2 linked regions of the Nothobranchius furzeri genome follow. The protein of the gene in region 1 purifies or fractionates together with the protein of each later gene. This does not show direct contact. Links are inferred from orthologs where the notes say so. Each region holds a gene or a part of one and is shown in the gene's direction. Other genes may lie near its edges.

Region 1 (4,863 bases):
TCCAGTTTAGCACATTTTGTACAAAAACATCTTTTGAATGTGAAGGAAAGAGAGTCTGTTCAGGTTGGAAATGATCATCAGCAGGATACAAATAAATGTGTTTAGAAGGAAATCTGTTTCTGAACTAAAACTGTTGCAGTTATTCTCGTTCACGAGTGTTTTGTTGATAAAGATGTTTTTTTTAATGAAAATCCGGTTGAAGGTCAAAGTTCAGACTTGGCTCACACCTTTGTGATTTTTGTTAACTTGTCTTCATGCCTGTAGTCATGCCTTAAACACACAACTGACTCTGGTCAAATGTGTAAAGTTGTATAAATTCATTTAACACTAGAATGTGTGGAAGTAATTCTGCATGCTGTCAGCCAGTTCCACTCAGCAGACATTATCAACATTATGGTAAACTTCTGCACACTTGCTCACTAATGTTGGATGTAATGCTGTATGATTTTTCTGAGCCGTCCACTTAATAAATTCATTCTGGATTATATGGTTTGGTTTTATGGATGTCGGTCATTCTTTTGGATGAGTGAACAAAGGAAATCCTAAATGTATTAATGAAAAAAAAAAACTGATCACCATTATATGTACTGATTGTAAACAAACATTTAACGCTTTAAATGTTAGTCATGTTACATTTTTACGTATTTGTAGCCGTTTTTAAATCTAGTTTCTGTTAAAACTTTACTGATGTATTTCCTGAAGAATAGGTGTTTTAAATATGATAGCTAATGGTATAATTTAAAGGAAGCTTTTTGATGAATAAGTAAAAGTTTATTTATATAGCGCCTTTCACAGATATAAATCACAACATGATAAAGATCAGAGCAAATACCTCTAACCAATAAAAACATCTGAAAAACAATAGCAGTGATAAACGTAGAAAATAAAATCATGAGTATAAACAAAGGGAAGGTGTGAACTCGAACAAAACCATCTTTTTGAAACATTTAGGGAGGTAACGCCTGGATGAAAAGGTGAGTTTTTAGATGATTTTTAAAGACCTCTACAGTGTTAGAGAGACGGAGATTTGAAGGTAGACTGTTCCAAAGTCTGGGGCCAATAGTCTGAAAGGCCCTGTCCCCTTTGGTTTACAGTCTGGTTCGAGGAACAGCCAGGAGGTTTTCAGATGTGGATCTAAGTTCCGAGAGGTGATGTGTGGGGATAAAAGCTCAGATAGGTAGCTTGGAGCCTGGTTGTTAAGAGCTCTATAGGTCAGGAGGACTAAAACTTTAAACTGTATTCTATATTCTACCGGGAGCCAGTGGAGGGACTGTAAAACTGGAGTGATGTGAGCTCGTCTGCTGGATTTGGTTAGGAGTCCAGCTGCTGCATTTTGGATGGCTTGAAGGCGTGAGAGGGAGGTTTTGCTGAGACCAGTAAAAAGAGCGTTACAGTAGTCTAAGCGTGATGACACAAAGGCATGGATGATTTTTTCCAGATCTGCAGTAGAAACCAGTTTACGGACTTTTGAAATGTTTCTCAGTTGAAAGAAACAAGAGCGGGAGATGGTTTTGACGTGAGTCTAAACTTAAAGCTGGATCAAAAATAACTCCTAGGTTTCTAATGTTGGCCTTGGCTGATGGGCAAAGTAAAAGTAAAGTAAAAGTAACTTTTCCAGTTTTTTCCCTAGAATAGTTACATATTTTTACTATACTATCACTAAAAGTACAAATACAAAACACTTAGTATTTTTGATTTCAAAACCGCACAATAAATAACTCAAATTGATATTTTGTTCTTGTAATACTTCAATCAAACCAGAAGGTGGCGGTAAAGTCTGAAACTATACGACATTTAAAACCGTAGAAGAAGAAGGCCGGAAGTAGCTTGACCATGCAAAATATGTCAGAATGGTAATCCGTCACTTGTTCTTCTGTGCTTTAGAGCATCGTTTTATAATTAAAGTGTGTGTAAATGTTATCTTGTCTTCTTTATTTAAATGCTGTGCCGAAGTGGATGCTACCCTTGTTAGCATTTAGCAGCTAGTCATAACAATGTGTCCTCCTGTATTCGTTTAACTACAGCGTAGTTGTGTCTTGTGACCGTTTCTGTTGTGTTTTTGTCAGAGTGCTCAACTAAAAGATGTCATCATTAAACCTGACGCTCCCAGCTGGCTGCTGCTGGACAAACATGCAGATTACATCGCTGCCTACGGGTCCAAGAAGGACGACTATGTGAGTGACGTTTTATTTACACTTAGTTTGTAGGATTTGTGTCGTCTCGTTTTTATCTGCCTCTGTCGATAAAACCTCGTTTCAGAAGTTTTAAACGTTTTATTTATTTATTTTGGGTTAAGATAAAAGATGCATTCAGGTGTTTTAAAAGGTAAGTTTTTTGTCCCAATTTTCCACAAAGTATATTAAAAAAGACAGAAAATGCTTTAAAGAAACCAAAGATGTACATTTTAAAAAATAATTATAAGACTAAAGAGACGGCCCTCACGTCTCATGAGCACCCACATCAGTGGGGATCTCCCCTGGACCCAAAACAGATTGCCAAGAAGGCAAAATTTTGAACTGCCCTCCACAACTCTCAGCAACTACAGCAGCCTGATCATCTGATTCACTGGTTAAGATTGTGTGCACAAATAAGAAATTTTACTTTGGTTTAACGGGTTTTTGCAACAGGAATTAAATAATGTTTTAAACCCAAAATCAAACTGTACCTGGTCTTTGGTGTTAATGAAATCTGACACCTCTGTGCTGCAGGAGTACACACTGTCAGAGTACCTGAGGATGAGCGGTATCTACTGGGGGCTGACGGTGATGGATCTGATGGGTCAGCTGCCCAGGATGAGCCGTCAGGAGATCATAGACTTCATCAAAGCCTGCCAACACGAGTGTGGAGGCGTCAGCGCCAGTATTGGACATGACCCACACCTGCTGTACACCCTCAGCGCCATCCAGGTGACACAAAGCCTCATTATAATAAATCACAAATGCTAAGGATGTGAGGAAAACTCAGATGAGCTAAACGATCACATGTGTTTTTCTTTAAGGTTTTTAGTTGACATCTTTTTATTTTTACACGTCTTTCTCAGATCTTGTGCTTGTATGACAGCCTGGATGCGATCGATGTTGACAAAGTGGTGGAATATGTGAAAGGGCTTCAGCAGGAGGATGGCTCTTTTGCAGGGGACAAATGGGGTGAGCGAGCTTTACTCTCTCTTTCATTTAGAGTAAAAATAAAAAGTCATTTTCACAAAGCAAAGCAGCTCTTTAGAGAAACCTGCACAACAAACTCTTAGATGTCTGAGAATAAGGAGCTGCATCTGGAATTGTGCACAAGCTTTAACTATAAGATTATTTAAAGATCTTTATCGTAACTGAAGTTTTCGTTCTTTTCAGGAGAAATAGACACACGCTTTTCTTTCTGTGCGGTTGCTACGCTAGCGTTACTGGTACGTACGGGTTTGTCTGAAAATAACCGTAATGCAGGCTGAACCAACAGTTCTGTGATAAAACTCACTCAGTTGCATCTTTTTTCCTGATGTCTGTGAACTTTTTAAAGGAGGTCGTGAGTTTGTTATTTAGTCAGATTAACCATACCTCTGAAGATTACTTTCTAGTCTTCATCTGTCCTTTCCCAGGGGAAAATGGACTCGATAAACGTAGACAAGGCGGTTGAGTTCGTCCTGTCCTGTATGAATTTTGATGGAGGTTTTGGCTGCAGACCTGGTTCAGAGTCTCACGCTGGTCAGGTGAGTTTTTGTCCCCAAACAACAATGTAAAAAAACCTAAAGGTTCAATTTATAATAGAATGAAAAATCTTCTGACATTAAACCCCCTGTTGCTTTTTTACGCTTTCATAAGATTTACTGCTGCACTGGTTTCCTGTCGCTCACTGGCCAGCTGCACCAGCTGAACGCCGACCTGTTGGGCTGGTGGCTCTGTGAGAGGCAGCTGCCATCTGGAGGCCTCAACGGGAGACCAGAGAAGGTCTGCCACCTCCTGATGATGTTTGGTTTTAGATTTGTTTGGAAAAATGACCAAAGAAACCCTTTTTTTAAGACTTGTCTTTAATCAAACCTCCATCTGACGCAGCTCCCAGATGTTTGCTACTCGTGGTGGGTTCTGGCATCGCTGAAGATCATCGGCCGGATCCACTGGATCGACAAAGCCAAGCTGCGGCGGTTTATTCTGGCCTGTCAGGACGAGGAGACGGGAGGTTTTGCAGACCGACCAGGAGACGTGGTGAGACGTGTTCTGAAAAGCAGAGCTCAGATTTTCCTCCAGTGTTCTGAATGTTCTGGTCTCTCCTCTGCAGGTGGATCCTTTCCACACTCTGTTCGGGATCGCCGGTCTCTCTCTCCTCGGCGACGAGCAGATCAAGGCAGTAAATCCGGTTCTGTGCATGCCGGAGGACGTCCTGCAGAGGGTCCACCTGCAGCCCGACCTCCTCAGCTAGCCCATCATCATCCTCACAAACACCGCTACCCTCACATAAACTCCCCTCAGCTGGAAGCAGGAAGTGGATCCGGACTCATCTCTGTTTCACTCTTCGGCCTTAATCCTTCCTCTGCTCACGTTTCTATCCAGCGTATCGTGTTTCAGCTGTTGAAGTTTAAACATAATTTAAAAACACATTCCTTACACTTAAATGCATCACTTCCATCAGCTGCAGCTAAGAATTAATATTATTGTTTATGTGGAACTTTGGATTCAGCCGGGAGGAAAAAGTGTTTTTGGCACCTTAAACTCTTAGCAGTTACGTAGCTGCTTTTTAATCATAAAAGGCGTTTTTATGAGCAGCAAGAGCGATGTGGAGGACACTAACGGTGTTTGCAGCAGACAGGCTTTCTGGGAAACCTAACTAAACAATATTCTACGTTTACAGCTTTATTCACTATTTATTAAACCTATT
Region 2 (4,990 bases), on another chromosome or scaffold:
TGGTTGAAGATCTCATAATTCATGCATCAGAGGGTTAATATACTGACATCCTGTGGTCACATGTGGGTACTGCTGCCTATTTTCAAAACAAATGAGTGACTTTCTACCTACCATTCTTTTAATGTCATGGCCGTTGCCAGTTATGGATCTGCACCAGAAGATTCTAGATGACAAGCGAAGATGCGTCGTACACAATACGTTCATAAGTACATAAATACATTTTACTGTAATAAAATGTTGTTGACCATTGAAAAGTAGCTTCAGATTTTTTTCAGAGCCCACTATTTGCTTCTAGTTCACTGTTAGCATGGTTAGCTCAACATTAGCCTCTAGCCTTCTTTACCCAATATTACTGTAGATAAAAGATTCCGTGGCTTTTAAGGGTCACTCCGGGTCGCTCTGGCTTAAGTTTTTGAACAACTCTGGAGCTTTTTGCCTGCTAGTGTCAAGTTACAAATTCCAGAGCTGCAGTGTTGGCTCATGCAGAATCGACAAGCTTGCAGGCTCATAGATCTCAAACAGTAACTACATCCGTCTTTGACCATTTTTAAAGGAGAAAAACTGACCCCCCCCCCCCCCCCCCCCCAGCCGGCTGAGAAGGAAAACAATAAATCAATATAAATTCACTTCCAACAGGATTGAGACATTAGACTGTTTTGTGATTATTTCACAGTTAAACTCTTACATATTGAACTAGGGATGCACCGATACAACGTTTTGCTAAAAACCAATACGATATTGATACATCTACCACACAAAAAAAAGCTATGAATTGGATTACAGGTTTTTATTTTCGTCTCTGCTTTCAACAGGAAAAGACTGTGAGGTAGATAAAAAATGAAATATATTAATAAAAATGATCACAAAACTAAAATATTAGGCAAACAGAAATGAGAAGTTACAGTAAAGCAACTTTGAGGCAACTGCATTGGTATTGGTAAAAGGTAACCAATGCTAGGAACTGATATATCTAAACCAATACTGGTATCGATATTGACCCAATACCAATATCAGTTTCGGTGCATCCCTATATTGAACCTTTGAGACTCTGCATATATTATAAAGACTCTGTACAAATATTTCATCACAGATGAACCAGTTAGTGATTTGTTTTTCATGCGTTGGCAAAAAAAAAAAATGCAGGAAATCCTTAGGATCACAAATTAAAAAATCAAGAAACAAAAGGCGAGAGTGATCTCCAACACATGTTGTAATTTATATTTTTTGGTTATTCTTTTACAAATTTTCTCCCTATGTGCCTTACAGCAGAGATTTGTCTGAGATCAGATTTATTTTGTTTTTGATTTTTTGTTAAACCATTAGAATCAGCTGAAAAACACGATATGTTTGAAAGGATTACATTTTCCCAATCAGAGTATACCACAAAACACTGGATATGATTAATCTTTCCTGGCAAAAAAAAAACTATCATCAGAAATAAATAAACAGCAACACTACAAAGATAACTTTACAAACAAAGCTGAAAATCATGATTTCTTATTATAACTCAACATTAAAACTAATTTTCACAGTTAACTTGTGTAGAATGGTGCATTCATTGGCCAAATTCAACAAAAATAAATAAATAAACAGCTGTCTCCAGGCAGTGGCTCAGTGGTTAGATCTATTGCCTTGCAGTAAGAAGGTCCTAGGTACACTTCCCGGCCTGGGATCTTTCTGCATGGAGATTGCATGTTCTCCCTGTGCATGCGTGGGTTCTCTCCGGGTATTCTGGCTACCTCCCACATGACTGTTAGGTTGATTGGTCTGTCTAAAAATTGTCCTTAGGTGTGTGTGTGTGTGTGTGTGTGTGTGTGTGTGTGTGTGTGTGTGTGTGTGTGTGTGTGTGTGTTGCCCTGCGATGGACTCTGTCCAGGGTGTACCCCGCCTGGTTGCCCATTGACCACTGGAGATAGGCACCAGTCCCCCCACGACCCTGCATGGGCAAGCGGGTTCAGACAATGGATGGATGGAAAACAGCTGGCTCCTTTTATTTTCATACTCGGGCCTAATTCCAGTTTGTAGAGCTTTTATTTTGAAAGCATTGACGGTGCGGAAGTAGCCCGTCAGCTTCCGGAAATCAGTCGGTGGAGAAAAGATTTCCTTTATGCTGGAAAAACTGATCTACAGAGTCCAGCACACACGAGGACTGCTTAAGAACTGTAGCTAATGGACTGGTGGATTGCAACACCGAACCTGCGTTGATAGGACGCTTGGCTACCGAGGCCGCGGGCCGGGCCGGAACCAGAGCCAGGCCCGGACCCGGACACAAGAAAGCGCTGCGACACCAGCAGGCTGGTGTGTGAGCGGGGAAGGTGGTATGGTGTCTGTAGAGGAGGTTGAATGTGGATCACGGTGACTCGCTGTCTGCCTACAGACAGCGAGTTCTCCGTTGAGTCCAAGCCGACTTGCGGTGCTTCAGATCGAATGTGAAGGCTCGAAGCCTCCGGAATGGAATGGCTGGAAATTAGCCAGACTGGAGGTAGCTTCACCGCGATTTAACAAGAGTTAGAAAACATAGATGTGTGTCAGAAATGGGCGTTATGTGAATGAGCAGAGCTTGTTTCATGCCGTCTAACTGTTTCCAGCTGTTCTGTTAGATATTTTTAAGGCCTGTGCGGTGTTAATGGAGGGAGTATAGCTGCCGAGTTAGCCAGCCTCCACCTCCCCAATGAAAGAATACAAAGTTGTCGTGCTGGGGAGCGGTGGCGTCGGGAAGTCCGCGCTCACCGTCCAGTTTGTCACCGGCACTTTTATCGAGAAGTACGACCCGACCATCGAGGACTTTTACCGAAAGGAGATCGAGGTAGACTCATCGCCCTCCGTGCTGGAGATACTGGACACGGCGGGGACGGAGCAGTTCGCCTCCATGAGGGACCTGTACATCAAGAACGGGCAGGGCTTCATCCTGGTCTACAGCCTGGTCAACCAGCAGTCCTTCCAGGTAGCCCTGCTGGAAACCTCCACAGTGCAGAGAAACTTTATAGATCAACAGGAGTTATTTGGTCATAAGGGTCCAATTAAACCCGTTTCTTTAGGTGAGAGTTGTTGTAGTGACCTTATAATAACTCAAAAGAAGCTTCACACTCTTCATCAGCTTATGACAACAAATAAAATGGTTAAAAACGATGTTTTGAGACTAAAATGTCAAAAAACCCGTCAAAGCAACGAACACTAGTTTTACTTGATTTGTTCTTATTTTTCCCCACTTTGCATGTCCTGGTAACCATTTAACCTACAGCTTCGCTGTAAAATTAGTGGAAGATTGCAAGAAAACACATTCGTCTTTATATTAGTAAAGCCTGAACTACTAATTTGTTCCTTAGAGCTTTTATGCATTCCCACATGTCTGTGCTTGTGTGTTTTTCAGGATATCAGGCCGATGCGAGACCAGATCGTACGAGTGAAGCGTTTTGAGAAGGTGCCGTTGATCCTGGTCGGCAACAAAGTGGATCTGGAATCTGAGCGAGAGGTCGCCGGATCGGACGGACGGGCTCTGGCTCAAGAGTGGGGCTGCCCCTTCATTGAAACTTCTGCCAAGAGCAAGACCATGGTGGATGAGCTGTTTGCAGAAATCGTGCGACAGATGAACTACTCCACGCTGCCGGAGAAGCAGGAGCAGTGCTGTACGGCCTGCGTGGTGCAGTGAGGTCGACGTAGGTATGCACAGTTGAATCCTGACTAATTTTACAAAATGTGATGAAATGTCCTTGCTGCTTGTGTAAAAAAATGCTTCACAGGCTGAGGGGGGGAAGTGACACATGGACTGGTACTGTGGCGTTTTCATTTGCAGCGTGAAGAAATGGAGGGATTTGGCTGGAAGTGAGAATGACGAGTGGGTGGCGCTGCAAACCGTTTGTAAGCTTGTTATCATAAGATCACAGAACGTAGAGGACCCAGCTATCTGAGCAGCTCAGAACTGGAAGGAAAGAGACCCAGAAGAGTTGTCAGCTGATCCGCGGAAAGAGGAAAAAGTCACATCCTGAGAGAGAATTTAGCCTCCAAAACAGGAAGTTCAGTCTAGTAGAGATGCTGCCTTTGTTACCAGCTTCCACTGACCTTTTCAACTCATTTCATTAACTAACATTTTTTTTTTCTTCTTTTAAAATCTAAAAAGTTTGGATCACCGCAAGCATTTAGAAGAACCTGAGGACTACCTGACTCGTGTCTGACAACAACCTACCGGATCAGTGGTTTCTGACTGACAGAAGAAGACATCACTCCTATTTTTGATATTGTAACTGTTGGACGATGCTCTTGCTGCAACCTCAACAGCCTTTTTGATGAAGCGGGAAGCAGTCAGGCACACGCCTTCTTTGGAAGAACAGTCCTTTGTGAATTTCTGTCTTATTGGTTTTATTCTTTTATCCATTTTTAGATGGTTTTCTTGAAGCAGGACTGATGTGTGAGGTTGCAGCACCTTTCTAAAGCTGCTTTAATCATTACTATATTCTTTAATATTACTTGTATAATGTCTGAAATTTGGAATTTGATAAAGTATTTCATATTAATGAAGCGTTTTGACTTTTAACCATGCATACACAAACCAGTGTGCTGCCCAGGTGTACTGCTCACCTTATTCTGAAACTCCAAGTATCCTCTAACTGACACAGACCACAGCAGTATATGTTGATAGATTATTTTTTTTCTGAGATTGTGTAACTGTGGGTTAAGTACTAAAATAAAACTAGTGTAAAAGGACAGTTAAACATCTATATATTAAAAGTGACCTGAGGCAGCTGAACTTACCTGAAAAGCTCAAAGGTAAAAGTGCACCATTTAAACTTGAAGTGATGACATCGAGCCATTTCTCACTTAATAGCCTGAGTTTTGTCATAATCCCTAACAGGTAAGGCTCACGTGGACGAAGGGTCTTCCGTCTTTGGTTTTATCGAGGAGACTGTAGATCCTTGGAACGACCAAAGTAAGCTAACACTCCGTGTTTGTGTTTGACAACATAATATGTGTTGCTTTTGAAATTCAGGAGAAG

The links.
Region 2: the proteins of rabggtb (region 1) and rap2c purify together in Homo sapiens (co-immunoprecipitation; 3 studies listed by BioGRID and IntAct, counting the BioPlex papers as one, with this or other methods). This does not show direct contact. The link is inferred for Nothobranchius furzeri from reciprocal best matches to the Homo sapiens genes RABGGTB and RAP2C.

What each region holds. Positions count from the first base shown.
Region 1 is NC_091751.1:41,398,864-41,403,726, forward strand, and holds the start of rabggtb (geranylgeranyl transferase type-2 subunit beta), read left to right. Parts: upstream 1-1,729; 5' UTR 1,730-1,850; coding exon 1,851-1,853; intron 1,854-2,066; coding exon 2,067-2,174; intron 2,175-2,708; coding exon 2,709-2,906; intron 2,907-3,040; coding exon 3,041-3,146; intron 3,147-3,347; coding exon 3,348-3,400; intron 3,401-3,589; coding exon 3,590-3,700; intron 3,701-3,812; coding exon 3,813-3,938; intron 3,939-4,043; coding exon 4,044-4,193; intron 4,194-4,266; coding exon 4,267-4,407; 3' UTR 4,408-4,863. UniProt on the Homo sapiens protein: Catalyzes the transfer of a geranylgeranyl moiety from geranylgeranyl diphosphate to both cysteines of Rab proteins with the C-terminal sequence -XXCC, -XCXC and -CCXX, such as RAB1A, RAB3A, RAB5A and RAB7A.
Region 2 is NC_091741.1:84,823,638-84,828,627, reverse strand, and holds the start of rap2c (ras-related protein Rap-2c), read left to right. Parts: upstream 1-1,847; 5' UTR 1,848-2,671; coding exon 2,672-2,944; intron 2,945-3,370; coding exon 3,371-3,649; 3' UTR 3,650-3,656; exon of another isoform or gene 3,657-3,669; intron 3,670-3,740; exon of another isoform or gene 3,741-4,107; intron 4,108-4,117; 3' UTR 4,118-4,990. UniProt on the Homo sapiens protein: Small GTP-binding protein which cycles between a GDP-bound inactive and a GTP-bound active form. May play a role in cytoskeletal rearrangements and regulate cell spreading through activation of the effector TNIK.